2 linked regions of the Neurospora crassa OR74A genome follow. The protein of the gene in region 2 purifies or fractionates together with the protein of the main gene of each other region. This does not show direct contact. Links are inferred from orthologs where the notes say so. Each region holds a gene or a part of one and is shown on either strand. Other genes may lie near its edges.

Region 1 (5,939 bases), on a different chromosome or scaffold from region 2:
AAAACACGCTGACAGATCGGTGGTTCGTCCGTAGCCGCTCGGGAAAGTGTTGCTTGTGGATGAAGCCCAACTGGAAGTAGTGAGCTGTGAACTTGTGGACGGCTTCGACTATTTCAGGCAGCGGCGGCAGAAGATCCCATTCATCGTAGCCCTTGATAGGTCTGGGCACCGCCGGCGCTGGTGAGCGTACGGGTGCATCGAGGATTTCGCGCCGGACCTTTGCGGGGTCTCGTTTGGTCGCCTTGTCGGCTCTGATTCGAGGATGTCGGTATTCGCGATCTTGATCGGGCTGGCCACGGACGGGGAACGTACTGGGGAGAAGGTTTGTGATTTTAGCAAATGATCAGAGTAGAGACACCCTTGCGACAGGGCCTGCATGCATCATGGGAACTCTTACCAGTCAGCCGGACCAAGTCCAGCATCGCGGCAAGCCTGGCAGGGAGGTTGGGCCTTGTCATGGAGACATTTGCTTCTCATACGGCGGCATCTGTAAAGGGCAACACGTTAGTCCTTCGCTTTCACCTGGGTACTCGCGTGACGTTTGGATGATGCCAAGTCAATCCGGCAACTGTTCACATACCTTCGGCAAGCGATTGGAGCTCTTCGCTTGATGACAGGTGCTGGAAGGGCTAAGCCAGGAACTTGTCCAGGAGTTCCGACAGAGACTGGGCTATTGACCTGGCTTGGAGGTTGGCCGGGAAGAGGAAATTGGCCAGGGATTTGACCAGAGAGCTGTTGCCCGTTGATCTGATTGACCTGGGGTTGCAGTTGTTGCGGTTGCTGCTGTTGCGGTTGCTGCTGCTGCTGCTGCTGTGGCTGACTATTGGTATTTGGCACGGGGCTTGACAAATCGAGTTGCATCGGAGTCTGAGGGGAGTCCTGGTCCTGGTGCATCTCGACGTCTTGTTGTGGTTGAGGCGACGCGGCCGGCATCGAAGCCATCGCCATGGGAGCTGGCGATGGCGATTGCTCGGCCTGCTTCATCTCCTGGTCCATCTTGCCGGCAACGACGCGCGCGGCGCTTTGGGGCCCGTAGGAGGATGAGGAGGATGCCTAGGGCAAAAAGAATAAAAAGATGCGATAATGGGACGCCGGGACGGCACAACGGCGATGTTTTAGTTGCAGATGACAGACCAGAAAAGGTAGCTGTTGAAGCTGTAGATTTGCCGGAGCGGCTTCTTGTTGGTTGCGGGGCGGATGATTTGATTGCCGGCAGGGCAAGATATGGTCCAATCTCTACCGCCAATTGCCCTGGATATGTGCTGCACAGGGCAGGCCCAGATGGGTGAAAATCGAATGCCGCGCGCCTGAATTTGAACCCTCGGGGCAAAACTTTCGGTCGGCACCCACCCGCCCGTCGCCAAATAGCAGCCCCAGGACCCACACTCGGAAGACGAACGACGGGACAGTGAGAGTTCGAATCCAAAACAAACTCGATTTTGATTGACAGCAAAGACTGTGGTGGAAATCACTTGTTATCGTAAAGAGGCTTGAGAATCAGCCCTGCGAAAGAATGGATAAGGTGGGACCTTCAGTACCAGTTTGAAGATTGTCTGAACTGAACTGCAGGCATCACAAGTAGCACTTCCGCCATAAAAGAGCTACACGTGATTGGTCGCGTGCCGTATAGTTGATGTATAAAAGTGTGCAGGTAGCGGGCACTATCACTTGACAACACTCAACAGCCCTAGGGAGGAAGTTATAGTTTACATTGAGCCTAGCAACTGTCTTTTTATTTTCTTTTTTCTTTTTTTTTTTTTCTGCTTCGCTGTTTCTACTAGACAAGAACACTTCTTCTGATATCATATCGTGTTAGCTTCATCAAACAAGAGCCTTGTTCTTGCCGTAGCCAACCCATATACGACTGTGAGGGTACATGTGAATGATCCCCCGAGAGAAAGTCCAATATTCCCGCCTGTGCCTTGACATACTTCCTTCTCCTGTTGAATGTTAAATGTTACATGTTGTTGTAGGTAGTTCGGACAAGTGGTGTGAACAAAGGTAAGTAAAATATAAGTGGGAGTGGGAGTATGCATAACAAGGGATTGTTTGTTTTGAGGGAATGGTTTCTTTCTTCGTGTGTCTCTACATGATTGTGCGTTCTGCGTCGGATCGCCCTATGATGCACTTCCTTCTTCCTTTTGCCTTGGATATCAAAGGGAAACGTGTGCTACAGGGTGACGCGCAGTACATGATAAATCTCTTCTCTCGTTTTCCTCCTTCTTCTCTATCGCTGACCCGAATAACGCCCAGGATTCGTGTTACCAAATAACAAACCAGTGCTAGCAGCCGCGCGCAAGGGGGACGAGGGATATAAAGGTGTGTTGGTGCTGTGTGAAGTGTCATTTAAACGAACATGATGTATAAATTAGTGCAAAACCATCGAGGGGGCTTGTATCACATCATTTGTGCATCGTGTTACTGGAGGGATTGGGTGTAGTGTCGTGGAATCGTGTCGCGTTCGTCAGGGATTTGCTGCTAAGGGGCTTGGGGGTAGTGATGGGATAATGCATCTTCCAAAGCGACTACGGGAGTGAAGTGCTTGAAGTGACGCTAGTGGCCCTGAGGGCCGACGAGCTGAGAGAGCACCTTTGGGATTGTCCTCAGGGCTGAGTGAACCTCATGTCTGGATCATGCCCTGGGTGCCGCTGATCTGACGCTTGACCTGCTCGCGCGCCCACCGAGCAGTCTCAATGGTACGCTGCTGGAACTCGCGGTTCGACCGAGTCTCCTTGATCATGGCGGTGATCCAGTCCTGACGGAAGACTTCGGCCAGCTGGCCGTTGGGATATGCGTCCGCAAGATCACTAGATAATCGTTAGTGTTTCTATAATGTGTTGTCTCAACATCATGCCAACTTACCCGATGACACCCATAGCGGCCCGCATAAGGGCTTCGCTGCGGTTAGGATCCTGAGCAATAGTGTTAAGAAGCTCAAAGATCGACTGAACGTAGGGCTCGAGAACGTTGGCTGTACGACATTTGTCAGTCTCTGCAAAGCGCGCTTAAGACCGAGGAAACTTACTCTTATCGCTGCCCTTCATGGCACCAATGATGCCACCCCAGGCGTCCATAATACCCTCACGGAGAGAGATCACATAGTCGAACATCTCATAAGAGCCCTCGGCGGAAGCGGTAACGGTAGCAGCCTGCTGAAGGACAACAGCAACAACCGAGAGGTAAGCCTCAAAGTGACCGCCAATAGCGCCAGCAATATCGCCGAAGCACTGCAAGATTGCAGGCTTGAACTGGTTGGCAAGAGCAGTGCTCCTAAGATTGTTAAGGAGATAGTTCATGAACTGATCGCAGTATGGCTGGCTGCGTTCGCCCATGGAGCGAGTGATATCGCTGACCAGGCCGATAGCCATGGAGCAGAGACTCGGCTCTTCCTGGTTTGCCAGGGCATTGTACAGGAAGGGAGCAAAAGCGTCCATGTACTTGGCAAAGTCCTCCTCCATGGCGTTCGCAAGGCCGCTGATGGCTGCGAAGACACCTTCAGGAACAGCCGACTTGCCATTAATAGTGTTCAAGAGCTGAAGCAGAACCTGCATGATGCGGTCGCCTTGGGGAGTGATCTCCTTGTCCAGGCGCTGAATGATTGCCTGGAGCACGGTGCAGAGACTGGTCTGCATATCCTCGAGAGTGATCTTGTCTTCAACGCTGACAACTTGGGATTGCAGGGGCAGTGTTTCCTCCAAACGTTGAAGGATAACATCCGAGAGGGATGCAACAGCAGGGAGACTGTCGTTGGCAGCATTCTGCACAAACACGTTAAGAACCTCGTAGGCAGCGGTGCGAACTGTAGCGTCACCGTCAAGCTTCGCCGTCACGGCGAGCAAGTTGGTCACGCACTGGTTGAAGTGAGGAGTAATGGGGTTTTGCGCGGCACCATATTCGCCGCCAAAACGCTCCGCGAGGTTCATCAAAGCCCAGCAGCAGGACGCGGCCATTCTGGGGCTGCTCATGAGGCCGTTGAACAGGGAGGTGATCAAGGGGTCAAGGTGAACAGCAGGATCGATCACTTCCGAGCAAGTTTCTGTAATTCTGCCAAGAGCGTATGCGGTCGAGTCACGAACATGTAAAGAGGGGTCCTCCATCATGCCGATCAAGGGCTGCATGCCAGACTTGACGATAGGCTCAAGCAACTTCTCCTCGGGGCCGTCCATCATGGCACCGAAAGCAGAAACAGCGGCATCACGGAGGTGCCAGTCGTCAGCGCGAAGGTTGGCTTCAACGAACTGGATGACTGGCTGGATGATTGCCGCACCAACAGCCTGAGAATAGAGTTGGAGACACTGGTACGCGGCACGCGAAATGTTGTACTCGTCATCAGCCGCATCCTCATCTTGCTTGGTGAGGAGCTGTAGGAGCACAGGGACCACTTCGAGTGTAGCAACGCGGGCGAAGTTGTAGAAGGGGCGCATCTGCTCCGAGCTCTCAACCTGCAGCTGTTGTTAGTGGGATTCTTGCTCAACCAAGGTGGCAGTGAAACGTACCTGAGCATTGTCATCTTCGATAGCAATCTCCTCTTCGCAAACGGTACTCCAGAACTCAACTGCAAGCTTGGCCACATCCTCGTCATCGCTCTTCATGCCCAGGATGGTGAGACCAAACAAAGCCTTTTCCATGTAGAAGCGCATGTTCTCGTAGTAGAGGGCCATGATGCGGTTGAGGCAACCATAAGCACCCTGCTGTATCCGAGAGTCCTCGGCCTGTGTCGCCTCGCAAATAACCTGCATAATGTAGTTGCGCTCGCCCTCATGCTTAAAGTTGTTACCGACAAACTCAAGAGAGTCGCCGAGGGCGGTAATGGCGGCAAGTCGAACTTCGCGGTTGGGCTCCTCCTTACGAGCACCTTGGACAACAGCTGTGAGGATGGCATTGGAATGTTGAACCAGGCTGTTTCGTAGATCGACATCTTGACTCTCGCAGATGAAGCCGATGGTGGTCAGAGAGGCCTGCTTCTGGTGCTCGCTTCCCTCGCTAACATTCTTGACCAGGGCGTGCATAAGGTCTGGCCACTCGTTTCGTGGTAACTCGATGGTAGCGATAGCCGCGATAACCTGCGCCGAGGCCTGGCTTGCCTGGGTACTGCTGGAGGCGAGGGTCTCGAGGGTGAGCTGTTTCACCCGTGTCTTTGTGTCTTGGTCTGTCTGCTGAAGCCATTTTGCTTGGAGCTCTGCTTGCCTAGCGAACTCGCGAGCACTGAAGGCGTTCTTGAGGGCGATACCGGCCGCCGCTCGGATGTGGCTCTGGGCGCTCTCATTTGCCAACTCTTGGACAAGTGTCACGAGGTATTGAGACTAAGAAACAGCCAAGTTAGCGTTTATGAAGGCCTTGCTGTGGGGACGCGACACAGGAGCAACGAGGGGAGGAGGCCATACGAAGTTTGTCTGAGCGGCTTGGCTGAGCTGCTGTTCGGCAGCATGTCGCAGGGTCGCGTCTAGAGACAAGGAGTCAGCATGTGCGTCACGGCTTGGACGAGCTGACGCGATTCATCATGGCGAGAGCGGCTGCCAAAAGGCAGGAGGGTCGGGGCATGGGTGAGGATGTCGAATATATACTGACCAGGACTCAGCGAGTTGGTGAGGACGGTGTTGATATCTGAAGAGCCCTCCATGGTTGCGGTTTGGATGCCTGGTTCGGAGGAAGAACGGGTCTCTCTCCAGCAAACGAAGCGGGTTGGCGGTGGTAGTGGGAGAAGAGGGAGGGGGGGGGTTTCCGAAAGGGAGAGAAAGTCGGCCTGGGCTTGATGCAACTAAAGTTTTGCTGCGTGGAACAAGCGGGGGGCGGGAGTCCAAGGTTCACGGTCCACAGCAACCTTGAATCTTAATCGGGGCAAGACTCGATTTGCTTTCGGTGAGATCAGATCGAACCGCAGAGGCGAGGCGCAGATGCAGAGCCGTGGGTGGGATCTGGATGCCAGGTGATGGCGGTTG
Region 2 (7,701 bases):
CACTCCCACTCCCTCCTCCCGTCCTCCGCTCACGGGAATTGCTGCCAAAGACTACTCTACACTACACTACACTACACCACATACACTACTACACTACTTCTAGTATAAGTACTGTCAGAAAAAAAAAAAAAAGAAAAGGCACATTGCGAACCCACAATGTCCACGACGGGGGGGCCCGACCACTTAGGTACCTAACCAATCGGTAGGTAAACCAAACAATGATAAACAAGTTGCTCCACCAAATGACGTCGATTGTCGCACTTTTTGATTATTTCTCAAATAGACTAGGTAGAGAAAGGTATAATAGCCTCACACCCCCCTGGATGGACACTTGCGTATTATAGTGTACAGTACTAGGGCAAGATGATGTTTTTGGAGTACACCTATCGGATGGCAATAGACCTCGAGTACATAACCTTGCCGGTAGCGTAATACAGACATATGTAGTGTACACACACAAACGTAGAAAACAGCCAAGGTACAGATAGTGTCAGAGGGATGATGATATGACCATGGCACACAATTGAAAGTTGTAGTGTCCTATGCACCCATTCCCGTTCAGAACGGGGGACCCGGACCCAAGGTTTGTAAAATTGGTGTGGCTGCTTTAGTTGGACCCCAAAGAAAAGACCCCTGATCAGCCTCCATCTGGGTATGTATCGAGGGTACCATGTAGACTACAATGCCATACTGCAGATACCCGCCGCTATCAGATGCTGGTGGTCCATCAACTCCATTGTATTCTACCTATTCAAGGACCCTCGAGTACCTGTGAGCTTTTCCAACCAAAGACGCAACACATGTGCTCATGTAGCAGTAGCAGAGATCCAACCCTCCGATCTCTCCTGTATCCCACCCAAACTACTGGTAAAAGGCAAGATTGGAACGATCCATGTTACTTAGGTATCCTAGTCATTTACAAGTGTTTATGTGATTTTATACGTGTGTGATAAATGGTTACGTGCGCCGAAGGAACGTTATGGTGTGCATGGTATCTCCATCAAATTCACATTTCCGCTTCGACTCCTCTCGCCTTCTTCCCTACATGACCAAGGCCATCAACAGCCTGATTGCGTGCTCAAGTATTTCTCCACGCTCTTACCATGATTTCCCTACCAGTTCCTGTCGATCCCTTCTGGTTCCATGCCATCTATATCCTGATTTCCAAGTAGATCACCATCTTCCTAAGTCGACGTTTTGCTTTTCCTTCTCCTACGTCCATCAGCGATGTCATCTCTCTTCCACAGCCACTACCTCCGACACTTCTTAACTGCTAAACCGCTCCCGAATCAACTGCTGAGATTCGGGGCCAAATTGCTGCAGTACGGGGTCGGGCGAAGTACCGGTTGCTTGCAACAGGCTCTTGACAGCGGCAATCACGCGCGCGAGGGTCTGTCCGCTCAAAACGTCCACCTCAAGCGCCTGTGCGACGTAGTAGAAAGCTTTAGCGGGTTGCGAAATAACGACAGGATGTTGCCTATTTGCGGGTCAGTCGTTTCCAGTTCGCCATGTCAGGACAAGAGACTTACTTTTCAATCAGCTGGGTCATGAAAGCATACGCATAGGGCGCCGCTTCCTCGTCGTTCAAGACCGGCAGAGTCTCAAACCACTGTGTCGCAACCTGGTCGGGGTTGGCGACTTGAGAAGAGTTGAAATGCAGAATCTTGGCGATGGCAGCGCAGGCATTCTCCGTAGCGTACACATTGTCCTCGTTGCGCGCATCTGGGATCTGCGTAGCCTTGAAGAGAACTTCGACGGCTTGGCCCACCAACGGCGCCCAAGCCTGGCCGCCATGGTGGGCAGCCACACCGATGCCATACGCAGCCGCTTGACGAATAGCGGGAGAGGCATCCTGGCAGCCGAGGAGCAGAGGCTCCGAGATATACTGGGCGTAGTGAATGCTCTCAGCACCACAGTATTCTAGAACATCATCCATAATGCACAGTCCCCACTGTCGCTGGGTGGTATCATTCGAGCTCAAGAAGCTGCTGTAGGTGGGAAGCAGGCGGCTCCAAGCGCTCAAGAAGCTTGCGCCGTGGTACTTGAAAACAGCATGGAACGCCTTGTTCATGTCCGAAAGGAGAGTCTGGTCATCCTCAATGGCCATCTGCATCTCTTCCGACTCGTCCTCGCCATCTTCACCTCCTTGCTCCTCCTCACGAGCGGCTGCCCGATCCTTGTAATCCTCAAGAGTGGAGTGGACACCGTCGATGAAGCGGCCCATGTGCGTCTCATCGAGGCAGGCAGTGCCGATGACCTCGATGGACTCATAGAAGCATTGATACATCTCCGCGAGCGTATCAATGGCAGGCTCGGCGCTAAGAACGTCGAGGAGCTGAACGACGGTGCTGGTCCACAAGCCCTTGAGCTCGTTGGAGCCGGGACCGTACTGCTTCTTGTATGAAATGAGCAATTGCGGAACTAGCTTCGCAGACATGTACCTGACAGGATCGTGGAAGAAGAAGGCCAGACCAGGAAGAGCAATCTTCTCCATGATGTCTGCGACATAAGGCGCAAAGTCACCCTCAAGGACCTGAGCGTACACCACGAGCAGCTCGATGGCCATGTTCTTATCGTCCATGGTGCTGGTACGGATACCAATAGTCTTGCCACGGAGCGGGACAAGCTCCCACCCTTCCTCGGTCTGTAGCTGCTCAATCTGCTCGTCGTCTTCCAGAAGCTGGATATCGGCCTTGGCGCTAGCAAGCTCGAGGAGTGGCGGCATAACCTCGGGCAAGTAGGGAAGGAAATCCCTACCCAACACACGGCACATTCTTCCCCAGCAGTGCATGAGGTACTGGGCCTGAGGATCGTCGGGATCAGTGATGTTTTGCTGGATGCTGGCCAAAAGTTGCACTAGCGCCATGGCATCCGCACCGAGACGCTCCTTTCCAACCGCAAGGGCGATCAGGGTGGCGCACTCCATCGCCTTTGCACGGAGGAGGCGGACCTCCTTCTCATTCTCGCGCTGCAACACTCCCATCAACAGGGGCATGAGAGTATCATAGTACTTGGCAAATGCCTGCTCTGCGGCGTCAGCGATGGTGGCGATGGTAGACAAAGCCTGCTCTTGGACGTAACGCTTTTCATTCTGAAGAAGCTGGAACAAGTGCGACAAAAGGTTGTCGAGATAAGGCTCAAGGACACTCTTGTCAGCCTCCTCACAAAAGTTCACAAGCGCCGCAGCAGCATGTGACTTGACCCGTGCCTCGGGTGCGTTAAGGACGGGCACAATGGCCGACAGCACAATATCGTAGTACTGCTTCTGCATAGTAGGAGCAAAGTCGGTGCTCATCTGGCCGAGGGCATTGCAGCCAGCCCAACGGACACGAGGATGGGGGTCCTTTAACGCCGGGACAACCAAGTCAAGGACCTGCCTCAGTTCACCAATCATCTCCTCGCGGCAGCCTTCTGAAATGGCGGACAGAGCCATCAAAGCAGCGTGACGGTCTCTCCAAGCCGGGGAGTTCATCATGCTAGGCAACCAGCCGAAGATGGGACTGAGAATAGCGGCACCTCCGAGCTTATTAGCCAGACGATCGAGACACTGCTCACCTGCGACATGGTTGGAGTCACTCTCGTCGGTGTCGAGCTGCATAAACGCCATTAGCACAGAGCCAATGTATGGGCCCCACAGAAGTTACAAGTGACCCAACAACTTACATCGTCGCAGCTAAGCCATTCGGCCGCATCATCGTCATCCTCACCAAGATCCGTCATCAAGCTAAGGCACTGTGTGATCATATCCTTGGTATAAGAAGCATCCTTCTTGCACATGGACGGAGCGTAATCGGCAAAGGTGGCCATAAGTTCCAGCGCATTTTGTCGGCAGAGGTCTGTGAGCTCCTTGTCTTGAATGACCGAAATGCTGAATCCAACAAGAGTCGAGAAGACGGTCTTGAACATCTTGGGGGAACTTTCGGCCAAGTCGATGAGAGCGATGAGGGCCTGGCTAAGGTCGTCCGAATCTTGCGAGTCCTTGATAGGAGGAAGGATGTTGAGGAGCTGAGGAAGGAGCTCGAAGTACTTGGCCTGGTTCTTCTTTCCCAGGCTGCGGAAAAAGGCCGCAAAAGCCTCCATAGCAGCAAGCCTGACGGCAACCGACTCGTCCGTGAATGCTTTGGCAAATGCCATGGCTACGGCATCCTGATGTTGTTTCTCAATGATGCTAGGGGTAGCGTGGAAAATGCGGAAGGCCGTCTCGCGCTTGCCAGCATCGGGTGCTTGGCTGAGGTTGAAGAGAGTCTGAAGTAGTTCTGGCCAATTTTGGTCATTGTCATAATATTGCCTAGCAACCTCGGCAACCGCATCACCAATCTTGTTGCGAACGTTTCTGTCTGTCTCGGCAAGGATGGCCTCGAGAATCTTGTTGCGGACAGCGACGGCCTCGTGGTTGTCAAGGGAAAGAAACATATCGGTAGCAGCCTCGGAGGTCGGCGTGGCTTTGCGAGTTTTGAGTGTTATCCGGCGGAAAATGACGGCGGCGAAAGAACGGACCTGCAAGGTTCAAAAACGAGTGAGTTATATGTGAGCAGTGACACGCTGAGGCGACCGGCCCAGCAAAAGAGGGTTGCGAAGAAGCCATACCGAAGCGTCGCTTGATCCAGCAATCTGCTCAGCCAAGCCCATCAAGAGGAGGCCAGGCCGGGAGCTGGTCCAGTTGTTTTGCAAGTGCTCCTCAGCCTGAGAGCGAATGTTGTTGTCGGCCGACTGAAGAGCCTGGAGCAGCTGGCTCAGCTCGGCCGTAACATCGGCGGGAAGGACCGACATGATGAATGATGTATGTTGCGAAGTAGAGTGCTAGTTGTGTCTAGTTGGTGCCGTGGGGTCGGGGAGCAGAAGAGTGAATCGCAAAGCACACTGCACTCCTTACACACAATGTGTGACCCTGGGTTATCGTCGGTTGGTGGGCTCTGGAAGAGGCGGAACGTGGTTAACGATGTTGGCCCAACAACAACATCAGAACTCTCGCTAAAGTCTGATACGGATGAGGACTGGGAAAAAGGCGGGCCAGGGAGGACGGACTTGAGGTGGACACGGCAACGGTGCGGATGGAGAAGCAACTCGAGTGCCAAGTTGATGATGGATTGACGACAGGCGTCGACGGTGACCGTTAGTGATACCGAGACTTGAATGAATTCAAGTCGCGATAAAGGACGCGTCCGAAACTCGACTTTGCTCCAGTCAAAGGTGGATTTGGATTGTCGAGAATTGGTGATTTGATGGCTCTAGACTGGCTCGAAAGGGTCGAGGGGAGTGGGAGGGGGGGGGGCATGGACCGTATGAAAACCGAATGGACAATATTTTTTTTTGATTGGGTCTGGGTCAACCCGAGCTCATGAATGGAGGGGGCCGAGGGGCACACGGCACTGTAGCGTACAAAAGTAGGTGCCTCTCGGCATACCTAAAGGTAGCATAGGGCAGGCAGACATTCTACCTCTACCTCCCGTTACCTAGGTAGGTAGAGGTAGGTACCTACCCCATAAGCGCCCAGGTTCCCCCCGCCGCGTCGCTAACATCCCGTTAGAGCACAGCACCGTTTGCTATGTGATCACCTAGTAAATAACTATCAAGCGGCAGAGGTCCGCTAAAACTACGGAGTGGGGCAGTGGCATCTTGAGATGGCCACCGGTTCTGGCCGTTCCTTCCTCCAACCTATGGAAAGCTCCAGGGCGGCCCCAGCTTCCACAACTTGTGTGCCCAGGCTTCCACTGCCGGGTGGGTAGGGCGTCTGTGATGATCATGATCAACAACATGGAAGGGAAGCAGGACTCGGAGGTGAAGGCCCAGATGAAATGTAGGTGACAGAAAATGGTGGATAGGCCTGATCTAGGTCTAACCCCATGGAGTTCCCTCCCCCACTGGATATGGATGGACTTTCATCGACAAAAACCTAATTGCGCCAGGCTGCCTTCAGTTCGCACCTCAGCCTACCTCTACTTGCCTACCTGATCGCCTCTGGGTGCAGCGCAGCAACGGTCAACAGGTGACAGCCTCAGCCCTGTCCTGCCCTGCAGGTGACCTTATCGCCGGACACTACCTGTGTACAGACTATCCGCACGCCTTAGTGTGAGAGTAGCCTGACAGTCAGTGACGAGAGGGAGGCTAGTGCTTCCCGCGCATAGGCTAGACAGGGGCAACCCCGCACCATCACGTTAAGGTAGGTATGCTCAGGATAGGTACGTGCCGCGGCTGGACCATCGTCATTGCTCTCCCGTTTCTGGACTTGAGAATCAGGCGGACGTTTCCATAGGTTCCTGTTGCTCTCGACTGGTCAATGCTTTTCTTGCTTCGTCAGTTTCGTTGGCAGTCGCAACAAGCCGATCTGAATCTTTCTCGTAGTCTTGATCTCGACTTTACCTATCACTGAGTGTTTGATTCCCGCCATACTACCTCTACTACACTCTCCTGCCAGATACTTCAGAATTTCAGATACACTTCCACCATTACCTACCACATACTCGGTTGCGCAAAGACGGCGGCGGCAACGACCCCGAGATTGCAGACAAGCTCAAGTGAAACGCTATCTACATCTACATACATACGAAGCATACCTGTACCTTCCGAACAGCGGAACCGACTACGACGGCAGCGGTCACCTTGAACTTTCGGCAAAGATACAGTACCAGTAGTAGCTTCTCTCCGCGCATCGATCTGTCGTGAACCATCTCCAACTGAACTACCCTAAGCTCTCTTCTTTCTTCGGTCTTATCCGCATCATCGCCGTGTCCGCCGCGGGTGCTTCAAGTTGCGTGCATTATTACCCGAGAAATCCAGCAACAACAACATCAACAATAACACCATCACCACATCTCGGAAGCTTCGATGGAGTCCTCATCAGAAATCACAAAATCGCCCTCTCCTGGCACATTGGCCAACGCCAACCCGGGCTTACCGGTCTCTGACACTGCGCTGTCCGGCGCCTCGCTCCCGTCTCCTCCAGAACGCTCCAGCTCTCAAGGCGGCAACCCCTTGTCCAAAACAACGAGCAATGTTTCGTCACATTCGCATCGCCAGAGCTTCGCTGAGAACCAACGTCATCCGCCCCCCTCGCCACGTACTCAGAGACACCCCTCCTTCACACAGCAAGCAATTCAAGACCTGATGAGCCACCCACCGCCAAACCGCCATCAAAACCCTCGCTATGTCGGCCGTGACTGGCGGGACATTGCCATTGGCGAGTTATTGCAGCCGGATGAAGTCAAATGGGCGGAACTGGACACTAGTATCCAAGAGGCCACCAAGGTGCGACAGTGCCTCTGTGCCAATCTTCGTCGTTGGTTTGGACCTTGCTGATATCGTTACTTACTGTCCAGACCCTGTTTCAAAGTAGTCCGAACAATGTGGTCCTTGTCCGCCAGAACTCGTCTTCGAAGGAAGCCGTTTCTACCTTTGACCACAGCGATCTCAATGCCTACCTTTTGGCCGTCGTAGGCCTGGCAAAGCCCGAAGAAGAACAGGTCGCTCTATATACAGATATTTCGGTCAAAGCGCAGTCTCAGGAAGAGATCCCGTTACGTACCCTCCAACCCATCTTTCGCCACGAGGAACTGGTGAAGCTCCCAGCCGATTCCACTCTCGATAAAGCCATTGAAGTGTTTGGAGGCGGCATTCACCGCGTTCTGGTCACCAATAAGGACTCAGAAGTGGTGGGTATCTTGAGCCAGTTGCGCCTACTCGAGTTCTTCTGGTACGAGGCCG

The links. Proteins that work in one complex are often made in the same cells at the same time.
Region 1: the proteins of NCU02357 (region 2) and NCU02011 purify together in Saccharomyces cerevisiae (affinity purification with mass spectrometry; 4 studies listed by BioGRID, with this or other methods). This does not show direct contact. The link is inferred for Neurospora crassa OR74A from reciprocal best matches to the Saccharomyces cerevisiae genes PSE1 and KAP95.

Annotation. Positions count from the first base shown.
Region 1 is NC_026501.1:1,678,164-1,684,102, forward strand, and holds the end of NCU02011 (importin subunit beta-1), read right to left. Parts: 5' UTR 5,621-5,939; coding exon 5,569-5,620; intron 5,444-5,568; coding exon 5,385-5,443; intron 5,304-5,384; coding exon 4,497-5,303; intron 4,443-4,496; coding exon 3,026-4,442; intron 2,972-3,025; coding exon 2,863-2,971; intron 2,808-2,862; coding exon 2,621-2,807; 3' UTR 1,692-2,620; downstream 1-1,691. Other genes in the region: NCU02012 (hypothetical protein), read right to left, coding at 1-311, 398-487, 581-996. UniProt on the Saccharomyces cerevisiae protein: Importin beta subunit that functions in nuclear protein import through association with the importin alpha subunit, which binds to the classical nuclear localization signal (cNLS) in cargo substrates.
Region 2 is NC_026507.1:2,756,839-2,764,539, reverse strand, and holds NCU02357 (importin subunit beta-3), read right to left. Parts: upstream 5,272-7,701; 5' UTR 4,771-5,271; coding exon 4,588-4,770; intron 4,498-4,587; coding exon 3,664-4,497; intron 3,593-3,663; coding exon 1,530-3,592; intron 1,478-1,529; coding exon 1,267-1,477; 3' UTR 876-1,266; downstream 1-875. Other genes in the region: NCU02358 (SDS23), read left to right, coding at 6,826-7,245, 7,317-7,701. UniProt on the Saccharomyces cerevisiae protein: Functions in nuclear protein import as nuclear transport receptor. Serves as receptor for classical and arginine/glycine-rich nuclear localization signals (cNLS and rg-NLS) in cargo substrates.